Drosophila melanogaster: one gene and its partners. The protein of the gene in region 1 interacts with the protein of each later gene in a pairwise test. Each region holds a gene or a part of one and is shown in the gene's direction. Other genes may lie near its edges. The genes, in order: CG13083, Cluap1, CG5327 and CG12589.

What was found.
Region 2: the proteins of CG13083 (region 1) and Cluap1 interact in a two-hybrid assay, tested with the Drosophila melanogaster proteins (one large-scale study listed by BioGRID).
Region 3: the proteins of CG13083 (region 1) and CG5327 interact in a two-hybrid assay, tested with the Drosophila melanogaster proteins (one large-scale study listed by BioGRID).
Region 4: the proteins of CG13083 (region 1) and CG12589 interact in a two-hybrid assay, tested with the Drosophila melanogaster proteins (one large-scale study listed by BioGRID).

Annotation. Positions count from the first base shown.
Region 1 is NT_033779.5:19,485,579-19,489,832, forward strand, and holds CG13083 (uncharacterized protein), read left to right. Parts: upstream 1-1,911; 5' UTR 1,912-1,945; coding exon 1,946-2,799; intron 2,800-2,856; coding exon 2,857-2,953; 3' UTR 2,954-3,113; downstream 3,114-4,254. Other genes in the region: CG13084 (uncharacterized protein), read left to right, coding at 1-319, 379-818; CG10194 (uncharacterized protein), read right to left, coding at 3,230-3,634, 3,722-4,064, 4,127-4,254.
Region 2 is NC_004354.4:22,541,346-22,546,101, reverse strand, and holds Cluap1 (clusterin associated protein 1), read left to right. Parts: upstream 1-1,779; 5' UTR 1,780-1,878; coding exon 1,879-1,900; intron 1,901-1,966; coding exon 1,967-3,133; intron 3,134-3,190; coding exon 3,191-3,484; intron 3,485-3,542; coding exon 3,543-3,652; 3' UTR 3,653-3,716; downstream 3,717-4,756. Other genes in the region: CG17600 (uncharacterized protein), read right to left, coding at 4,284-4,756.
Region 3 is NT_033778.4:18,613,793-18,619,265, forward strand, and holds CG5327 (uncharacterized protein), read left to right. Parts: upstream 1-2,195; 5' UTR 2,196-2,258; coding exon 2,259-2,345; intron 2,346-2,404; coding exon 2,405-2,569; intron 2,570-2,648; coding exon 2,649-2,846; 3' UTR 2,847-3,151; coding exon of another isoform or gene 3,152-3,330; 3' UTR 3,331-3,362; intron 3,363-3,407; coding exon of another isoform or gene 3,408-3,945; 3' UTR 3,946-4,525; downstream 4,526-5,473. Other genes in the region: CG10927 (uncharacterized protein), read left to right, coding at 1-417; mRpS28 (mitochondrial ribosomal protein S28), read right to left, coding at 449-632, 690-811, 873-1,151; CG5323 (uncharacterized protein), read left to right, coding at 1,369-1,455, 1,516-1,680, 1,778-1,966; CG5493 (uncharacterized protein), read right to left, coding at 3,152-3,330, 3,408-3,945.
Region 4 is NT_033777.3:5,136,387-5,141,250, reverse strand, and holds CG12589 (uncharacterized protein), read left to right. Parts: upstream 1-2,261; 5' UTR 2,262-3,637; intron 3,638-3,677; exon of another isoform or gene 3,678-3,756; 5' UTR 3,757-3,773; coding exon 3,774-4,064; 3' UTR 4,065-4,194; downstream 4,195-4,864.

The DNA of each region.
Region 1 (4,254 bases):
CTGGAGCATCAATTGAAGCAGCTGAATCGCACTCAGGAGCAGCGCTTGGACATCCTAATCGATGCAGTCAAGCATTTGCAGCCCCACAGTTCCTGGAAAGTGGAGGCTGTTCTCCGCGAACTGATCATCTCGCAGAAACGCATCGAACTGGGTCTGGAAGAGTGCAGCCGACAACAGCCCTATCCGCAATATGGCCATCACGACGAGTCCTATCTTCCCACCTACGGAGCTGAGGTCCCAGAGCCGCAGCATGCTCATCCTAAGCCCAAGCAAGTGGATCTGGAACAGGTGTGGAGCATCAAGGAGGAGCCCAAGCACGGTAAGTGGTCCTTATTGCCACCAGATTAGGATCACAAATTAATGGCTTGTCGTTCATAGGAGAGCACTCTGGAAACCACAAAGCTACCGCCTATGCCCAGTCCCCCGAGCCAAAGAAGAACTATCAGAGCTCCAGCGCCGTGTCCTGGCGGCAGACGGTGCCGTGGGAGTACGGATCCCCATACCAGTCCGCTCCAGTTCACCACCATCAGCCATGGAACCCAGCTCCGGCCCACGTTCCCACCTCCGTTACCAAGCCCAAGCCGTGCCCCAAGAAAGAGCACCCTACTCCGGCATCCTATGTTCCTTTGCCACATGACCAGCCTGAATCCTACAAGCTTCCTGTGGATTACAGTCCCAAACCTAACCACGAGCAACCTCATAAGCCCCACCACGAGCCACAGTCTTACAATGAGGAGATCTACAAGCCACAGCCCATCCAGCCAGGAGAATCCTTCAGGATTTGGTATGGAGACAGTTCCCTCCCCCAAGGATACTAAAGGAAGATTTAACTGGGACTACCACTGTTACTGAAACTGATACAACTTTTCAAAGCATTTAACAAACTCTTTTTTTTTAATTCAGATTCATTACTTTGTACAATTTTTATGTTTTATAAATAAATAAAAAAAAAGCAAAGGAAATACATTTTTGATTATATTCCTAGCAAGTAATTAATAAATAACTTTTGAGAAAAAATGCTATAGTTTCATGGAAATCATATGCATCAACTTTTAGCATCGTATGCGAAAATATACATTCAATTTCCAAAAACTTTTCTCAAAATCTATTCAAAATATACGAAGAAATTTTTGTTATTTTGTATGTTTTGTAGGTAAATAAATTCACCTTACTATTAACCTATGCTATTGTTTGTTGATAGAAGCAAATTTTAAAAATATTTTAAGCTTTTTTAAAAGTTAATAGTAAAGGATCCAAGTTTGTTTAAATTTGCAAAAGGCATCTTGGCCAATTTTTGAATAGGCATGATAATATGAAGGATAATTAATTATACTGCTGTTTTCGAAATAGGAAACAAAATATAGACTTATTAAACTTTTACAAAATTACTTTAGTTCGCTTTATTACTTTATTTCTTGTAAACGATAGACAGTATGCCCGAAAACATTTGTTACGTTATCATTACCTTCGAAGACCTATTTTCTGAATGAATTTGAACAAGAAGCAGCTGGGGCACGTTTTTCAGTGGTGTTATTACTACCGTAGCACACAAAAAACCGGGTCAATCTGTTCTGTTTAGAAACAAAGAAGAATTTTGAAACGTGACACTACACGGATTTTCCCTAACTTTACCAAGATGTCGATGAACCAATAACTATTTAGTACGACTACATGCAACATAATTCGCTTTAGTTCTTTCTTTTTACAAGATGATAAAACAGTTGTTCGCGACTATCTTCTTAGTAGTAGGGAAATTCTCGTAAACACACTATTACAGATTGGAGCAGCATTTGCACCTGCACCCGCTGAAGAGAAGTGGGTGGTGACCGAACTGATAGAACTTAACCCAGTCTAAGACACGTTTTGGACCTTAAGTTGGGCTACTTAAGTTGCGGTTCGGATCGAAAAGAGACACTCAGCGGGGAGCGGCCATCAGAGAAACACCATGAGAGTGCGACTGACTTTGCTAACGATATGCATTTACCTATGCGCGGCTGCAGCTGAGGATCTGGACTCCATCCATGAGATCCGCAGTGAGGTGGAGGAGCTGATCAAAGGTACGGAGGAGCTAAACCATGGGCTGCAGAAAGTGAAGGACGTGCAGAAGGGCATTGAAGAGAAGTTCAAGCATCAGCGCGACGAGATCGAACTCATTGCTGGATTGGAGGTTGCCATAGCCAAGCTGGAATCGAACGTTCAAAGCAGCTTCCAAGCCACGGCCTCTGGAGTGGGAAATTTGACAGCCATTGTTAACGCAATCCAGGGTCAGAATGAAAACTCTATTAGGAATCTTACCAAAGTGGAGCTAGAAATCAGGAAAGCCCTGGAACAAGTGGCTGCCAATCAGAACAAATACGAGCAGAACCTAAATGAAGTGGCCTCATCCGTCAACTCGCATCTGTCGGAGATTCAGCAGCTGCTATCACAGGCCGTCATAGGGGAACTCATCGGCTTGGACAATAAAGCGAAGGTCCTCCAGGAGCAGCAGCGCAACATCGTGGGTCAAGTGGGATATCTGGGCGAACTTAAGGCTCTGGCAGATCGTGCCAATCGCAAAGTCAATCAATTGGAGTGGGGTCTGGTCATTCTCAACCGCACTCAGTCCGAGAGCCTCAACAGCATCGAGCACACTGTCCATGGAGTGCAGGTGGCCACCTCACAGGTCGATCATAAACTGGCTGCCCTACTGAACAATCAGAAGAACATTGAAAGGACGCTGGATGGCTGCAAGCACAAAAATCCGTCACACCAGAAGCCCCACGAGATCTGGACTCACCCGGAACACGCACCAATTTACAAGTAAGTTTGTATGCCCTACTTCTGGGTGCACACTAAAACCACTCTTTTCATTTTAAGGCCAAAACCAGAGGGCAATCAAGGATACGAGAACGTCTATGCATCCCAAGAAGAGGCTGAATACCTATACAAACTTTGGTATGGAAAGGGCCAGTAGCATTAATACGAAAACTGAAGATAGATGTTTTATGCCATATTCAGAAATTGCTTGATTTCCTATATCAAATCCCAGCATGTCGATTCTATCTATCTTATATAATTGTATATTAAACCGTTCTGTAACACAATGTAATAAACAAGAGTAAATGGAGGAAATCGAACTTTATAAGTTGTATATTGCTAAAAAGTGTTATGTCCAACTTTATATATCAATTGTTGGAAAACTTATAAAACTAGATAAATGCACCTGACATAGAGGAAACCGGCTCTACCTCTATAATTTTGTTGGATCCAATGGATGAACCTGACCATCATCCCGCTCAAACTTAATTATCAGCTGCGACTGATGCTGGTTCCAGTGCTCCGATCGATGTAATTTAGCATTCGTCTTCGAACGGAATTCCTCGACTGACAAATCGATCTCAATTTTTTCGTTACTTGCATCCGGATCGGCGGGGTAAGCATCATCTCCTGGCAAGAGATGCACTAATCCATTTGTACACTTGTGCACTACAGGATGAATCAGCTGAATGCCTTTGACCTCACGCTCTGCTGCAAACTGACGCAGGTTATCTAAAGAGGAGAAGTTTAGGCAGCGCGAAAGTTCATAGAATTGTGGAGGCGGCAGCCAGAGTTCTTTTCTTAGGCTCGCTTGAAGGTAGTCCAATGGGGAACGCCACTACAATAATATAAATGATAGTACATTAAATGCAACTTAAAGGTTTCGCGTATCGCTCTTGTGCCGTATAATATCCCACCCACCTACCGCAGAATCCTTGACCTCATTAGGTTCGATGTGAACCCTGGGTTCCTGTTCCAGGGCAGTCATAAAGAAGGCCGTCTCGAAGCGCTTCTTAAACGTGGACGGCGTGCGCCAGACAGACCACTCGTGAAGTGACCAGACATCTGGAAGCACATCCAGCTGCTTGCAGAGCTCCAGGAACTGGCTGGCATTGTTGTGGACGATGTGCTGCCAGTGGGCGCGGTCAAACTGGTCATAGAACGCTCCATAATCGCTAGTGGAGGTCAATGATTTGCTGTCCCTGCACAGCAGGATACCCAACTCCTCGAAGGTTTCTCGTATGGCAGTCAGCCGCAGAGCTAGGGATCTGTTAGGTGCGAAAATAATGTTACATCACCAATTTCCTAAAAACCTATTTGAGTTGCATACGGATCCAGCGATTTCTTATCTGCCTTGGTGTGGAAAATATCCGGACGTGGACCCTTCACGTGGCCCACGTTCCGCAGCTTAGCGGCACTGAACTCGTTTCTCTGAAAGTGTTCCAACCAGGCAGGCGA
Region 2 (4,756 bases), on another chromosome or scaffold:
GCGAAGTTTGTGAAAGCAATTGTAATTTCATAATGTTACTCAATTTTTGAGTACAAGGCCTCCAGCTACTGATCGGGTTTAAAATACATTTGTGTGCGCTATAAAATACAAAAAACAAAAACAGTTTGAGCACAACCCCTCAATTATTTAACTATCTGATACCCTAGTATCAGAATATGCGTAGCAAGACAAGGGAGAACGCTATGAATGAGTTCTCCGACTATCAGAAGATACACGTTAGTGGTTGGTTGGTTTTGGTATGTATTTATTCCTTATGCACCAAGACTATTACTTAGTAAAATCCGTATTCCCCATATTAAGCAAAACAAGAGTGTATGATATAATCGAGTTCCCCGACTATTAGATACTCATCGTTACTCAGCTAGTGGAAATGCGAATGGGAAATTTCATAATTTTTCTCGGATATCGATAGATATTGGGAAATAATATAATATTGGCAATTTAAAAGACTAATAATAATATGAAAAAGTATTAAAACATTTAGCAAACGTGTGGGCGTGACAGTTCTAGGCAGTTTGTGGGCGTTAGACTGGGCTTGGGAACATGGGCAACTGCACTGCGTCTACGTCTTTAGAATCTGTATGCTTCTTAACTTTCTTTTACCTTCTAGCTTTTATTGAAAAATAGATAGATTTCTGAGATCTCGACGTTCATACGGATGTCCGGCCGAACATGGATATATTGTATATTAGGAATATATATACAATATATGGTCGGAAACGCTTCCTTCTACCTGTTTCATAAGAATATTACTAAAAGGATATAACAAATTTAGTGCCGCTTTTAGGCATTTTGAATGTGCGCTTGTATGATTGAAACAGGGTTCATTCGACTTTTTAAATAAATAGAGTTTTATTTGGTTTTCATATCCATTAATTGTATAAAAACTAAAAAATTAGAAAATATAAATTCTTGATGAGGATCACAAGCGGAATCTTCCATCTGTCGATCAATATTAACTATAAGCTATATATGTACATATGTATATATGTATATACACTGTAAAAGCTAATGTGACACACACACAGCTCTAGTGTGTTTCAGAACGTCGTCTTGCCCACTATAACGCCCGCAAACTTCCCAAAATATCACACCATCGATAACCCAACAGAGTGTTGAATCTGTGCAATGATAAGTAAATTACAAGAACAATAAAGGATATATAGAAAAACTGAAATTTATGTGCCCAACAGGTCAATTTCAGTTGAGATAGTGGCGCCCTCTGTCGGGTATGCTTAATTTGTAAAAATCCCAATTATCGTATTTCAATAATTCGTTCTTAGCAACTCCTACATTTTTAATGGAATGGAAACCGCGCAACCGTTTCCCAGGTGAACCCCGTGCGACCGTCCACAGCAATCGAATGAATATTAGCCAAGGATAGCAGGGGGACACTGCGAGAAATTTCATATGGCAAGTGATAGTAACCTGTATTTGTTTAAGTATTAAAATAAAAAAACTAAAACCTATTTAAGTTAAAATTAATTTTATTTCGCTTTTATTTTCAGTTTCATGTATTGCTGTTTTTGAGAAATTTAGTACATATATCTTAATTCCTATTTTATGTAATATTTTCTTATTAAAATTCCGTTTAAAATTACCAACATTGTTGTTGACAATAATCTTAGTTTAATATTAATAATATATTTTAGAAATGGATCAATGTTTAGAGTTCGTTATCATATTTTCTCGCTATGCATTTTCCGTTACCTAGCAACCATCAATTTGGGATTCGGTGGCCCAAACAAAAGCTCCAACGACCACAACAAATGACGGTGTTGAAAATGCAATTGCCAGCGCAGCCGCAGCGATTGCAAGCAGCCAAAGAAAAACAGGTGAACTCGTTGGAAGCCAGGAATGTCCTTCAAGGATGTGCGAGGTGCGTACTGACTTCCTCCTCTTACTTCCTCCACCTAACACGACCAGACTGATACTCCACTTCCAGATCTGGGGGAACATCTTAAGCTGTTGGGGTTCCCGCGCGTGTTTCCCCTCCAATCCCTGGCCAATCAGCATGGCAGCCTGGCCAGTTTCCACATTGTTGCCGAGCTCCTTCAATGGCTAGCAGGACTAATAGAGCCAGGAGCCACTTTGCCCGGCGGCGTTGAATCGGAGGAGCAGCGGGTTCTTCTCGTCCGTTCGGCGACCGAGTTTTTTGTGACCAAGGCAGCCATTCGTATTAATCCCCGAAAACTGTATGCAGCCGCTGCGGTTACGGCGGCAGAGCTACAGAAGGTTACCCGACTCTTGACATCCCCAGGACAAAACGAAGCGGACAACGACGAAGAGGACCAAAGGGACCAGTACCGGAGCCTAAATCCCGTGGATATTGGCGATAAAATAGAGGAGTTGCGTAAGGCTCGAGAACTGGCCACAGACCTAACCCAGCGTGGCACAACCATATGCGAGATGCTTTCGAAGGAACTGCTCCACAAGGAATCGCTAATGTCCCAGGCCCAACGACCCCTGGAGCTGCTCAGCGTGGAGCGGACCCTGAAGAGCGCCATCCAAGCTAACCAAGTTCGCCTCCAATCGAGTAGAGCCCAACTGGAAGCAGCCAAGGTGGAGCTCAATGCTCTGGGATCAAAGCTGCAGCGCCGTCGGGCGGAGCTCGAGCGAACCCGCCAAAGACTGGAGGCACTGCATCGCATTCGACCAGCGCACATGGCCGAATTCGAGGACTGTGAGAAGGAGTTGCAGGAGCTATTCCAGCGCTACTTTCTCAGGCTGCATGTGCGCGATGCTCTAAAGTCCCAGCTGGACCTGCGTACTAAACGTGCCACACCTATCTCCTCACCCATTCTGCAAAAGCCCGCCGAGAACTCAATGCCCTTCATCCCGGAGGGACTCATCGAGGACGACGATGACGACGACGACGAGGACGATCTGGATGACGAGGATGAGGGCGATGATGGCGGCAAAGCACTTTCCCGTCTCGAAATGGTGGTCAATGGCAGGAGTGTCTTCGGCCTGGACTCAGAGATACCCGACATACGGGACGAGGACAAACTAATGCAACAAAACAACATGGTTTCCGCCCAGGGAAAACGTCCTGGTACCGCCACCTCCAGGATTAGACCCACAACGGGTAGAAGCAGGAAGGCAGTAGGAGGTAAGGAAGTTCTAATTTCACAAACTTATTTCCCTGCTCAAATAACGAAAATCCCAGGAAGAGGCACAGCCGGCCCGGATGGTGGTAATGATGCCAGGGCAGCCCGCGGCACCAGGAGAGGTGTTGCGACTGGAGGAGACGCCGATGGCACCCAGCTAAACGGCCGCAACGGACCCGGCAGCAGTATGCTCAACTCCCGGGACGAAGACAGCAGCTTCGGGAGCTCCGAAAGCGAACTGGATGTGGGTAAAATCATGGGCATGAGCGGAATGAGCGGAATGAGTGGCATGAGCGCTATCAGCGGGATAAGTGGGATGAGCAATATTGCCTTGGGAGCCGGCGATGATGATTGTAAGTCGTGTAGTTACGCCTTGAACTTATAACAAAACTTTACCTCATTCACCCCTAGTTGATCTGAACTCGATCGATGACATAAGCATTTCAAAGTTAACTGGCGAACTGCCACTTAGACCGAAGACCGCCAATAAAGCGGAGCATCACAGCGATGAGGATTTCTAGGGATAACTACAATATTTATATTTATTTGCTAATTTTATAAACTCAGCCAGAGGGCAGACAGGTTGTAAAAAGTAAATAAAATATTCCCATCAAGCAATTAAAAGATTTCTTTCCACGTCACAATCAAATACGTCACCGTCTCGCAAATAGACGGCCTTAGGGTTCCGGTTCCTGCAGTAACACGAATTGTCTGGCGATATGGTGACTAGTATGATGAGCAATCAAAGTGTAGTCAAAGATGGATTTCTGCATGTACATAGGTAAGTGGGACTGTGCAAGTCAAAGCATAGCCAGGATCCCTAACTAAGTACATCGTTATCTGTATGACTTTAGCTAATCTATTCCTCCAAGAAGCGAGATATAAATTAAATTTGCTTTTGTAGATACGTTATAATCAGTTAATTCAATGCTCGAATAATTGAAATAGTTTGCTTAATATATCTTTATTCGATTAATTTTAATGTGTCTTAAGAGCTATACGCATATGTAAGTACATTGATAGAGTAATGGATATAAAAGGGGTAATTTATCAGACAAAGCCCCACATAGATGGGATTTCGTTGTGGCTCCGTAAAAAAAATATATACAAAAGTCTGGGAAACTGGGAACTAGAGAGCGGATGCTTTTCCCGTCACATCACCACATCCCGGCAAACGATCTTCGTTTTGAAGGATGCCCTCTGACCGCCGTACAAGTCCGAGGAGGCAGACGACGAATAGTCGACGTGACTGCCCGCCTGTGACTGTTCTTGCCTGGCCAAAAAGCTATCAGCTATGGCTCGATCTAGACCCGTATACTGGAAATTGGGAGCACCGTCCAGGACATCCGCTTCCGATTTTCGGCGCTGCCGGCGATTGGCATCAGACTTTCCCGCCCGCCGCCGTCTTCGCTGCCCATTGATCTCCGCTGACTTTGTGCTCTTGTGAGTCCGGTATGTCCCGCTTAGGCTAGCCGGGTGGGCGTAGGTCACGGATCCGGGCCCAGGTCGCATGTAGGGAAGGGTCATTCCACGGTACTGCGCCGGCAGCGGGGGCACGGGAAGCAGAAGTCCAGCTCTGGCGCCCGGAGGCGGAGGTGGCAAGCGTGTGGGCGGTGGTGGTGCCA
Region 3 (5,473 bases), on another chromosome or scaffold:
GGAGGCGCCACAAAAACGGAGGTTACATTCACCGAAGATTTCAAGAAGGATACCACTCTGCGGGGTATTCCTAAAGCCTACTACGATTACCTGATGAACAATGAAGACTACAAAGACCTGACATTCGGAGCGGAAAAGTCGAGAGAATGCAAAGAAGTGGACGCAGTTCAAGGAGCAGATAACCTGGCCAAATTCGGACCCTATCTGTGCACCGGCTACGATATCTATCTGCTGCAGGAACCCTGCCTTATGTGCTCCATGGCCCTGGTACATAGCAGGGCGAAAAGAGTATTTTTCGTTAAGAACTCTGAAAACGGAGCTCTAGCCACGAGATTCCAACTGCATTCGGTGCGGGAACTCAACCATCACTACGAAGTGTTCCAGTTCACAACCAAGGAGGATGAAGACTTGACGTAACGTTTAACAAACCTTGGTTTTAATAAAGGATTTATAGGATATCTTCGATTTTCGGCGTTGTTTTGGCCGTCGACTGGCGGGTGGGCGTGGACAGGAGACCCAGCAAATGGCAATCTGCCTCTAGAATGGTAATATCCTTGGACGAACCCAGAAACTTGGTGGACAACTCCAAGTCCTTGATGCGCAGTCGAACACGGGCTCCTCGCACATAGTCGCTGAAGTAGGAAAGGCGGTTTATTGGATAAAGAGACAGGAAATTATATTGAACTCACCTGGCATTGCGTGTTGGACGACTGCAGACGCAGTGAAACTTCCAACCAAAGTCTATGTAGAGATCATCGCCCACCACATGAAAGATCTTGCCACTGACCACCTTGCCCTCGGCGTTGTCCAGCTGCTCCAGAAATCAACAAGTTATTACATAAACAATGGGATTACTTAAATAATGTACCCACATCAATTAATTTGGAGTTGCGCAGCAGGGAGGCGAAGGTCTGGTTGTCTTCCGGCAGCTGTGGAGGCGTGGCTGGTGCCGTGTACTTGTCGAAGGCACGGGCGAATCCTCCCTTGCTGCTGCCAATCTCCGCCGTTTCCGTATTCACTGCGGGAGTAGATTCCTCCGCCGGTTTTTCTGTGTTACCGCTGATAAGTCGAATGACCATTGGCATTCGGGAACGACAGGTTAATGAAGCCATCGGTACACCAGATCTGCTTAGTTTTTGCAAGAGCGACATGGTTTTAATTTAATATTGCTCAAAAATATCCACAAGAAAACCAAAACCAAGTGGAAAACCAAAGAAGAAGAGCGGCACCGATAGACTGCTAATCGATTATTAGCAGCTGCGTCGGCTCATCACTAATCGAATATTACAAAAAACACGCTGCCGGCATTTATTTTGATATTACGAAATCGGTTGTAAGACGTAGGTAATTAACAATTAAACAAGCAAAATGATCCAGCAACAGCGCCAGAAAATCGAGGCCGCGGTAACGGAGATGATCGACGACATGGACAAGACGCACCTGCGCAAAATGCAGGTAAGTGGAGTTCGCTTTAGGGGATATCCCGAAACTGACTTGCTTTTCACGAAATTCCAGAATGAGATGCACTTGTGTGCGGCCAAGTGCTGCCAGGATGGAACCTCCAGCGTGGACAGTGTCCAGAGATGTGTGGATCGATGCTCCGCGCCCATGACGAGGGCACAGAACTACGTTCAACACGAATTGGGCGAGTTCCAGGGCAGACTTCAACGTTGCGTCATGGTTAGTATCCATTGCACCAACTTTTTGCCCTGGTGGCTCTAAGAATAATAGAATATTATTAGGCAACGCTCATATTTCACATTCTCCTCTTCCGCAGCAATGCAACGACGATGTGAAGGTGAAAATGCCGCCCAGTCCCAATGAGGATCAGATAGCCAAGTACACCGACCAATTCGAGCGCTGTGCCATCCAGTGTGTGGACAAGCATGTGGGCCTCATTCCCGGCATGATGAAGACCATGAAGGCTGTGCTCTCCAAGGGACCCGAGAGCATTCCCCAAGTCTAACTCAACCTGCATTTACTACATAATTAGTTGTTGAATTCGTTTATTTTAAAACCGTGCAATGAGTCCCATCTCTGGAGTCATTTCAAATTTTGCTTTTAAGAATATAGAACAAAAATTACCTTATTAATTGTTGAAAGTCTTAAGCAGCAACCAACAACTGTTGTGCTAACAATCTTCGGAAGAATGTCAAGTTTTGCCATCAGTAAAAAAAATAAACATACTTTGTACACCGAAAACTGTCAATTCAACATTTTGTTTTGTTCTTTCGAAATTGTTCAAATTTTAAATTGAAATGGTGGAGCAACAAAAAAAGCGCTTGGAGGGCGCCATTAGCGAAATGATCGAGGACATGTACCGCACCCACTTGCGCAGAATGCAGGTGAGTGTGTGGCCTCCACTTGCCTACTATGAATTTCTGGTAAGAACGTTGTTTCCAAGTCCACGATGCACCGCTGTGCCGCCCGCTGCTGCGACGATGATCGAGGGACGCTGGAGAGCGTACAGAACTGCATCGAGAAGTGCGCCGGTCCCCTGATGGATGCCCAGGATTTCCTGCAGCACGAGCTGGGCCAATTCCAGAATAGACTTCAAAACTGCGTTAGGGTAGGAGCTTAAACTATAATTATAAATGCTTAATATTGGATTGATATATCCTATTTTTAATACGATTGCCAACCCGCAGGATTGCAACAGCGATGCGCGGTCTCAGATGCCCAGCAATCCGAGTGACCGGGACATGTCCCGATCCCAGCACATGTTTGAGAGTTGCACGAACAACTGTGTGGACAAGTACATAAACCTGATACCTGGTCTGCTCAAGTCGATCAAGCAAACACTGGACAGGGGTCCGCCGAAAAGATCACGCAACATGGATGTCTAACCGGGATGCAATTCAGGATCTGGTGACATTTAAAAAAGCACATTCAAGCAGTTGTCAATGGTTCACTTATTTATTGAATATTTTTGGTACAGCTAACACTTAAAGTACACTAATCGCTGCTGTGATCCGGGATAGCCAATGGATTGGAATGGGAACTTATCAGCGCCAACGTGGCCCTTGCTCGCCATGTTTGATAGCTCAGCTCCCGGATCTTCTTAGGCCCTAGCTCATTAAATATCTAGTAATAAAGATTCTTAGTATTATGCAACAATACGAGAGGCTATATTTTTAGGATCTTGATGGATCTACTGCTCGTTCTGCTTCGTCCTCACGCCGTATTTGCTCCAGAAGGTGACCTTGGCGGTGGTCTTCTTCAGGTTGTCCTGGAACACGGAGCACGTGTCGAAGGGTGGACAGTATAGGTGAAGGGAGACAGAGGTATCCGAATGGCTGGGGTTCTCCACGCGATGCAGACCCAGATTGTCTATGGATAACAAAACGAAAAAAAAAAAAACAGTAAGTATAGGAATACCCCACTTTTAAAGTTTCTAATTTTCTCACCATTTATGTAGGCCACATCATTGACGGCGATTGGTGTCTCCCCAATCTCCACCAGCTCTCGGCTATCGATCTCGCCATCGGGATGATGGGACCGGCCGTTGTCCCTGGCAGATCTATTGGGATACTCGTAGCGCTTCTCGCGCAGATCACCCTTCAGCATCTTCATGAAGCAATGGGAATCGGCATGGTCGTGCACCGAGGAGCCGTGTCCTTCGCCCCAGCACAGAATCAGCAGATTGAACTTTCCATTGCCAGCATCCACGAGATTCCGCGTGTAGGTGTAACGATCGAACTTGGCATATTTGCGCCACTCCCGCGGATTGGACTTGTAGCTGAGCATAAGGTGATTCACCATCTCGATGTTAACATAGTTCGACTCGAATTCCCGGTGAAGGGCGGCCACCAAGTCCGATAGGGAATTCACCTCCGGTCCGTATTTCAGGGGTTTCTCCAGCGGCTGATAGTAGCTAGTGGCCTGACGCAGGTACTTCTCCTGGTCAACCTGCTCGATCTCGGTGTCGATCTTGGACAGGGCCATTTTGGGCTTGCTCTGATTGACCTAGGTTGCGAAAAGGGAAGCGGAAGTTAGAGTGGTGGTGCATCAGTTGAGGCTGAAGGGCGTGGAAAACTACCTATAAAGTCTATAAAGATCACTGCTCAATTGATTTAGATGAATTACGTTGTAAAGTCGATGATCGCTGATAATAGCTATTGGTATATATATATATGAATATTCCGATTCGTTGCTGTTACAATTGATTGAATTGCTTCGACTAACCGCACACGCTCCACCTCGGATCGCAAAATTCGAACTGAATTCTGGAGATTTCGCTCTCCTGTCCAGGCTGCATAATCAGCTCGGATCCGACGTAAATCGGAGGCGCAAGTCCAAAACAATAACAAAAACAAGAAGTCGCCGGCGATAACCGTCCATCCAACTTATCAATAGCAGATTTTACCAATACCCTCGGCTATATAATACACGTATTTCTCAGTAGATGATGATAGATCGAATGTTGCCAGGAGGGGCTCAACAGATGTGCCTGAATTTGAGACAAGAGGTTAACGGCGATCTAATGGGATCGTTTGGCAAATAAAAAACAAATTTATTCCACAATATACTCTGGAGCCGACAATAAAAAATATTTGGGCGATACGGGCATTGTCACTGATACGTTAATATACCAATTGATAACTGATAGCTGGTTGAATCTGGATGCTGACGAATTTGCTTTCAAGATCTGCGGGTCTTACCAGCCGGGATTTTCCCGCAAATTCATTTGAAAAAAAGAACCGCGACTTTCTCTAGTTTTGGATTATAGTTAACCGAAACACTTTGAGATACTTTTTGTTTCGAGAAAGTATTGCCTACTTTCAGGTTCGTTACAGATTTCTCTCAATTGCCTGCCATTTGTCAGCAGATCAGTCGTGTCTTTGTTACTCAGGAAGTTAATTAGTGACTAACACACTGACCTTACTTTCTCCATTAAAATGTTAAACAAAGAAAATGATTCTGTCATTGTTTCTCCTAACACGATATGAATTGAACTCATAAATTTAATTATATAACTTCAGGTGAAAACTCGAAATAAATAAAACACTTGAGCTTGCATTAAAGGTAATAACTTTTTTACGATCCCCATGCAATGTTGTTAAATCTTTTCCCCTTGGTGCCACATCAAGGTATTTGAAAAATGTTTTGCAATGGCCAAAAAGCATAAACTGCCAAGCTGGCAGCCAACTTTCGCAACAGGTTAAGGCCAATAGCAAAGTCAAAGCAAAAACTAAAAGCTGCGAACTGCCATTTGCGTAAATATTATGCGAACAAATAGCTTGGAAAATTGGTGAAAAGCAGTTGCCAATTTTCGAAACAGTTCAACAAACTACGATTTAAGTTTGATTTTCTGATTTTCGTACAATTTCAGCAGGGAAAGGGATTTGAAGGATAAAGGACTTACCATTTTGTTTGACTTCTTGGAATTTCTCTCTTAGCTATGGCAACTGAATAATTTTTTATGAACTTGAAATTCACTTTTTAAAAACACTTTTAATTTCAGGACTTGGTA
Region 4 (4,864 bases), on another chromosome or scaffold:
GGGGAACCAGGCTGGCGACATCACAAAGAAGCAGCTACAAGTCCGGACATAATGGGTGCCATGTAAATAGTTTGCCCCGACAGAGGCACACGGTTTTGCCCGATTTCCGGGTGCGGATTCGAGTCCGTGCACTCAGGAAAACGATTTGGAGGATTCCCATTTTAAGTTTGGAAAGCAAAAATGATAAAAAGCCTTTGGGACATTTAATAGAAAAGAGCACAACTGCTTAAAAAAGCATATACTCCTTTTGTGCGTTTTCACGTCTTTAACTAGATGGGCAGTTCGGATTCTTTGAAATTTTGATTACGAGTTATTAGCAGATCACACTGTTTCGTCACATCGTTCGCTTACTAAAACTGATTACACTGTAAAATTATTCGTATTCTTTTATTAAACCAAATTCATTTCCTTAAGTAAAATTTCGAGCAGTGTAAGTTTGGTTGGTTTGGGTAACAATAAGGTTTATGGCTCTGTACAGGGTACCACAAAACATTACCAATTATTATATTTCAGAGTAAATATTTGAGTATTGATAATAATATGAATAACATGAATTTTCCTTCGAGTGCGCCTTGCCTTGTGGCTGCATGTTGGTCCGTGTGAGTTTGTTAAGCTGCTTTTGAGGCAGGCACTCAGGCACAGGCCGACCACACACAGGAGCATCCGGAGTCCCGTGGTCCCATAGTCCCATAGTCCCGTAGTCCGGACTGCAGAGCCCATAGTCACAGGACGAATTCACGTGTGCGTTTGTCTCCGCTCCTTTGCGAGTGTGAGTGTGTGAGTGCGAGTACGAGTGTGTGTGTGTGTGTGTGTGGGTGCAGGACGACGGACATGTTGCTGAGGCGCGGCCAATGCTTGTTACGCTTTTGAGCCCCCGCCTGCGGTTGACAGAGCACGTTGAACCACCCACTCCGCTTGGTTCGAGCCGTGCACTTAGCCATCCGCCACCCACCACCAGCCACCCTCCGCCCATCGAGCCATCGTGAAAGCATCCAAACAGGCAGCTTTTCTGCGGCCTGATTCACATTAAAACGCAATTAAAGTTGCAGGCGTTAATTGTGCCGCCTGTGTTGCCTTTTTTTTAACCTTTTCAGCTTTTTGCCGTTCGCTGGTTGTCTTTTTGAGTTAGCTGCCGAAAATTAATTACTTTTGCCCTGTCAAAGTTTCCAAAGTCATTGGAAAGGGGGGAAGCGCAGATATTACGCGAGAAATATAAAATACTCGGCAACTATGAGTAGGTGTGTTCTGGAAATCTATTTACCTAATAAATTGTTGATCTTTGAGAGAGATTCATTTCAGAATTATGAATTATTTGTCCTGTATTCGTAAGCTAAAAACATGAATCCGATTATAAAGCCTTTTTTCTTATAAATCTTAAAACAATTCTACAGAACTTAAATATTCAGTGCCTTCATTCCGTGAAACGACACACATAAAAACATGGCTTTCCTAAATTTAAAATAGATTTTAATGGAAGTTCCACTGTTTGTTTGTAAATGGGAATGCTCGCATGTGAATGTCTCTTAATGAATCAAGTCCATGAATAAAGCCGCAAGTGGGGCTTTTTTCGACTTTTGCTGTGGCATAGCACTATGCGGTGGGCCGGAAGTAAGTGGGCGTGGCAGAAGTCGTTTGGTGCTAATGGGGAGCCGGACACACACAGATATGCACAGATATACAATGATATACAATCGTTCGCTGAGTTTTTCTCGTGCCGTTTCTTTAGCCAGATGTGTAGTAAAATCCTTTGGCTGGCAACTTTATCCTTCGGCGCGGATTCCCAGAAGCAGCTGTTGTTCTTCTTCCCCTTCACTGACGTTGCATTCTGAAAGCGCTGTTTATATCACAGCTTTTCTTATTCCTTTTCATTGTGCCGCCCGTTTTTCGCTTTTGCAACCGTCGGGTGGCTGGCTTAAGCGCCAGTTGCCGGCGACGTGCCGCTGAAATAATTAAGTTGCCAATCCCGGCAGGCTGAATATCAACAGACATCCAGAAAAAGCCAAGATAGAGATGCAACTGGCAATGGAAAGGGTTGCAGGCTTAAACTTAGGTTCATAGATTTTCAATTAGCCTGTCAGGATGAAAGCAGCAGGCGTGGATTTTGTTGTGCTCGATTTTTTTTTTATTTTTTTTTTCTCTTTTTATTTACAATCTGTCTTAAAAAAGTATGACAATAAGTAAATTTTATAATTAATCTTAATTTAACAGAGGCAGTAGTTATCCATTATCGATTTTTAAAATTTATTTAAAACGTTGTTTGGCAAATTGTTTAAAGTCAAAGGTGAGAGATGAGCCACTCCGTATTTGCAATCATCATCAGTGCTATTCCGCAAAGCTCGGACGGCCTTAAAATTGGGCTTTATCCTCGCCTTGGCAACATGTCGCATGCGTATTATCCAGAAATAGCCTCAAGTGCCTGCACCACAAATAGAAAACAAACAGCCAGCCTGCCCACACGCACACTCCCCAGCAAATAGACAGCTTGTCAAACTTTTCGGTTAGAAGGAAATGCGAAACATTCCTCGAATATTACGCATACGCACGGCTGGCGGCCACAACACCGCAACTAAGGCGTTTTCTGTGCATAAGATGTCGCCGGGCAAAGGAAAAGTGAAAACTGCTGCAATTTCCACCACCATTCCGCCCAGTTCACATTCTTTTGACAAGAGCCGTTGGCCTTGTCTCTCGACGAGATGCTTGATCATTAGCATCACAGTCGTAGTGGAGTCGCAGCAAATTGCTATGCTATGCAGTGCGCACTTGGCGAAATGCATTCATGATTTTAGACCATTTTTCCAAAGTGCTCAAATACCGTCAAATATCTTAGGATATCATTTAGATTTCTTTCGAACTTTACTTTAATTTCCGGTCATCCGCCAAATTTTCGGTCATCCGTAAAGTGAATGCCTGACATCCGAATATTTTTTTCCGTGTGGAACGTGCTGCCAATTTACGATTCAGACGGCGCTGCGCCGCCCGAAAAGGAACCCCAAACGATGCAACTGGGTCGGCCGGGTGCAATGCAACTCGTACTCGCACAAAGGAAACAAAGGCACTAAGTTGCGGCGACATGTAGCGCTTTAAGCTGTGGAGAGCGAGCGAGGCCAATGAATACCAAATGAATCGATAGTGCGAAATCGAACTCCGGGGGCAGCGTCAGCAGGGCTGGCATTTTTCTGCTCGGTCGAGCCAGGGTGCGGAAAAGCAATTTCGGTCTGAGCCACCTCAAGTAGCTGCCGCTTTCCCGCCTTTCCAGCCTTTCGTGCTTTCCACTAGGCCAAACGATTTGAAAATTTTACGAACGCACCACTGCGCATTGCTCACAACCAATCGAGGGCATTAGCTGGGCAAAAAATACAAGACATCTTAACCAAACACGGAGCAAATGTTCAATTTCCAAGTCAATCAACTAGAAAAAGTTGCACTCACTCGCTGCGGAAATCTTTTGCGTATAGGTTTCCGGCATGGAATGCTGGATTCTGGGCCCAAAGTTCTTGCAACTCGGAATTAAGCGATTAGATGGAAGTTTGCCACCCAGTTGGCACGCTTAAATTATTCCAAGTTTCCGCTTCTGTCGCCAGCAGATACGCACACTGAAAAAAACTGGGACTCCCACAACTATATAGAATAGGACATAGTATGTATTTGCTTGGCTCTACTTCCAACATGTGTTTAAAATTTTTCAAAAATATTTTGTTCAATTGACATATGTATGTATATTCATTACCAATATAACAATTTACCATTGCTGTGTAGCACACATCAGTTGCACAATGGACGCGCATTCCACAGCCGTCGCAGGCATAGATATGGAACTGGACTTCGGCGAGGACATGGATGAGCACGGAGAATTGGAGAAAGTGGGTCAGCCTGAGAATTTGGTAGCGATGGTGCTGCGCCTGCAGGCGAACCACGTGTGGATCCGGGAGCAGCTGACTCACCTACAGCGCCGCCTGGTGACCCTTCGGCTGGACAAGCAAAGAAGCTTATACGAGGGAAAGGAGCGGTTACAGCGACTCCTGCTGAGCTTGCAGGTGAAACACGGACGCCACTGGGCACTGTAGGGGAATCGATGGACGATGGAGCTCGGAATTCAGGTGACGAAAGTGTAAAAGTACAAGCGAACTATCTTGGTGAAAGATGATGTAATGATGTTCTCAACTTCGTATTAAATATAGTGGTTTTAGAAAGCTTAATCATAAAAGCCTCATTAATGTTAAATTAAGAACGAAAATTACTGAGAAATAGTTTCATAAAGTTTGCAAAGTAAACGATGGTTATGTCCAGTCTTTCTTTTGTATAAATATTATACCGTATATATTATATTGATTTCAGACATAAGTTTAATACGCAGTGAAAAAGACTTTGCCGACCATATATATTTTACTATAAAGTACATATTCTTGATCAGTAATAATATCCTAGTCGATAGAGTCATGTTCATATGGCATGAATCTTTCCCACAACTTCTATTTTTGCTGCTGGTGGTAAATAAGGCTAAGTTGGACCATAATATCACAAGCAGCCACAGGAATAATCGAAAAGTGAAATCATATAGTTTTGATTCGTTACACACTAGTATTTTAACAAATATTTAATTACTGCAAAGGCTTGGCTTATTAAGAGTATTAAGAAGTTTTACACGGCACTTCCACGAGTCCTTTCAATTATCCAACCTGATGACAGCCTGATGACAGTCCCAGCCGAACAGGAAGGCCAGATTTGTGGCCCACACAATCATAATTGTTGAACAGACTTGTGCGTTCGGATGTAAACCAAGTGCCGTACTTAGGCACTTAATTCATGCGACTAACACACGCCACACAATGCACATTGCCCGACAACAAATAGCCCAAAACCCTGG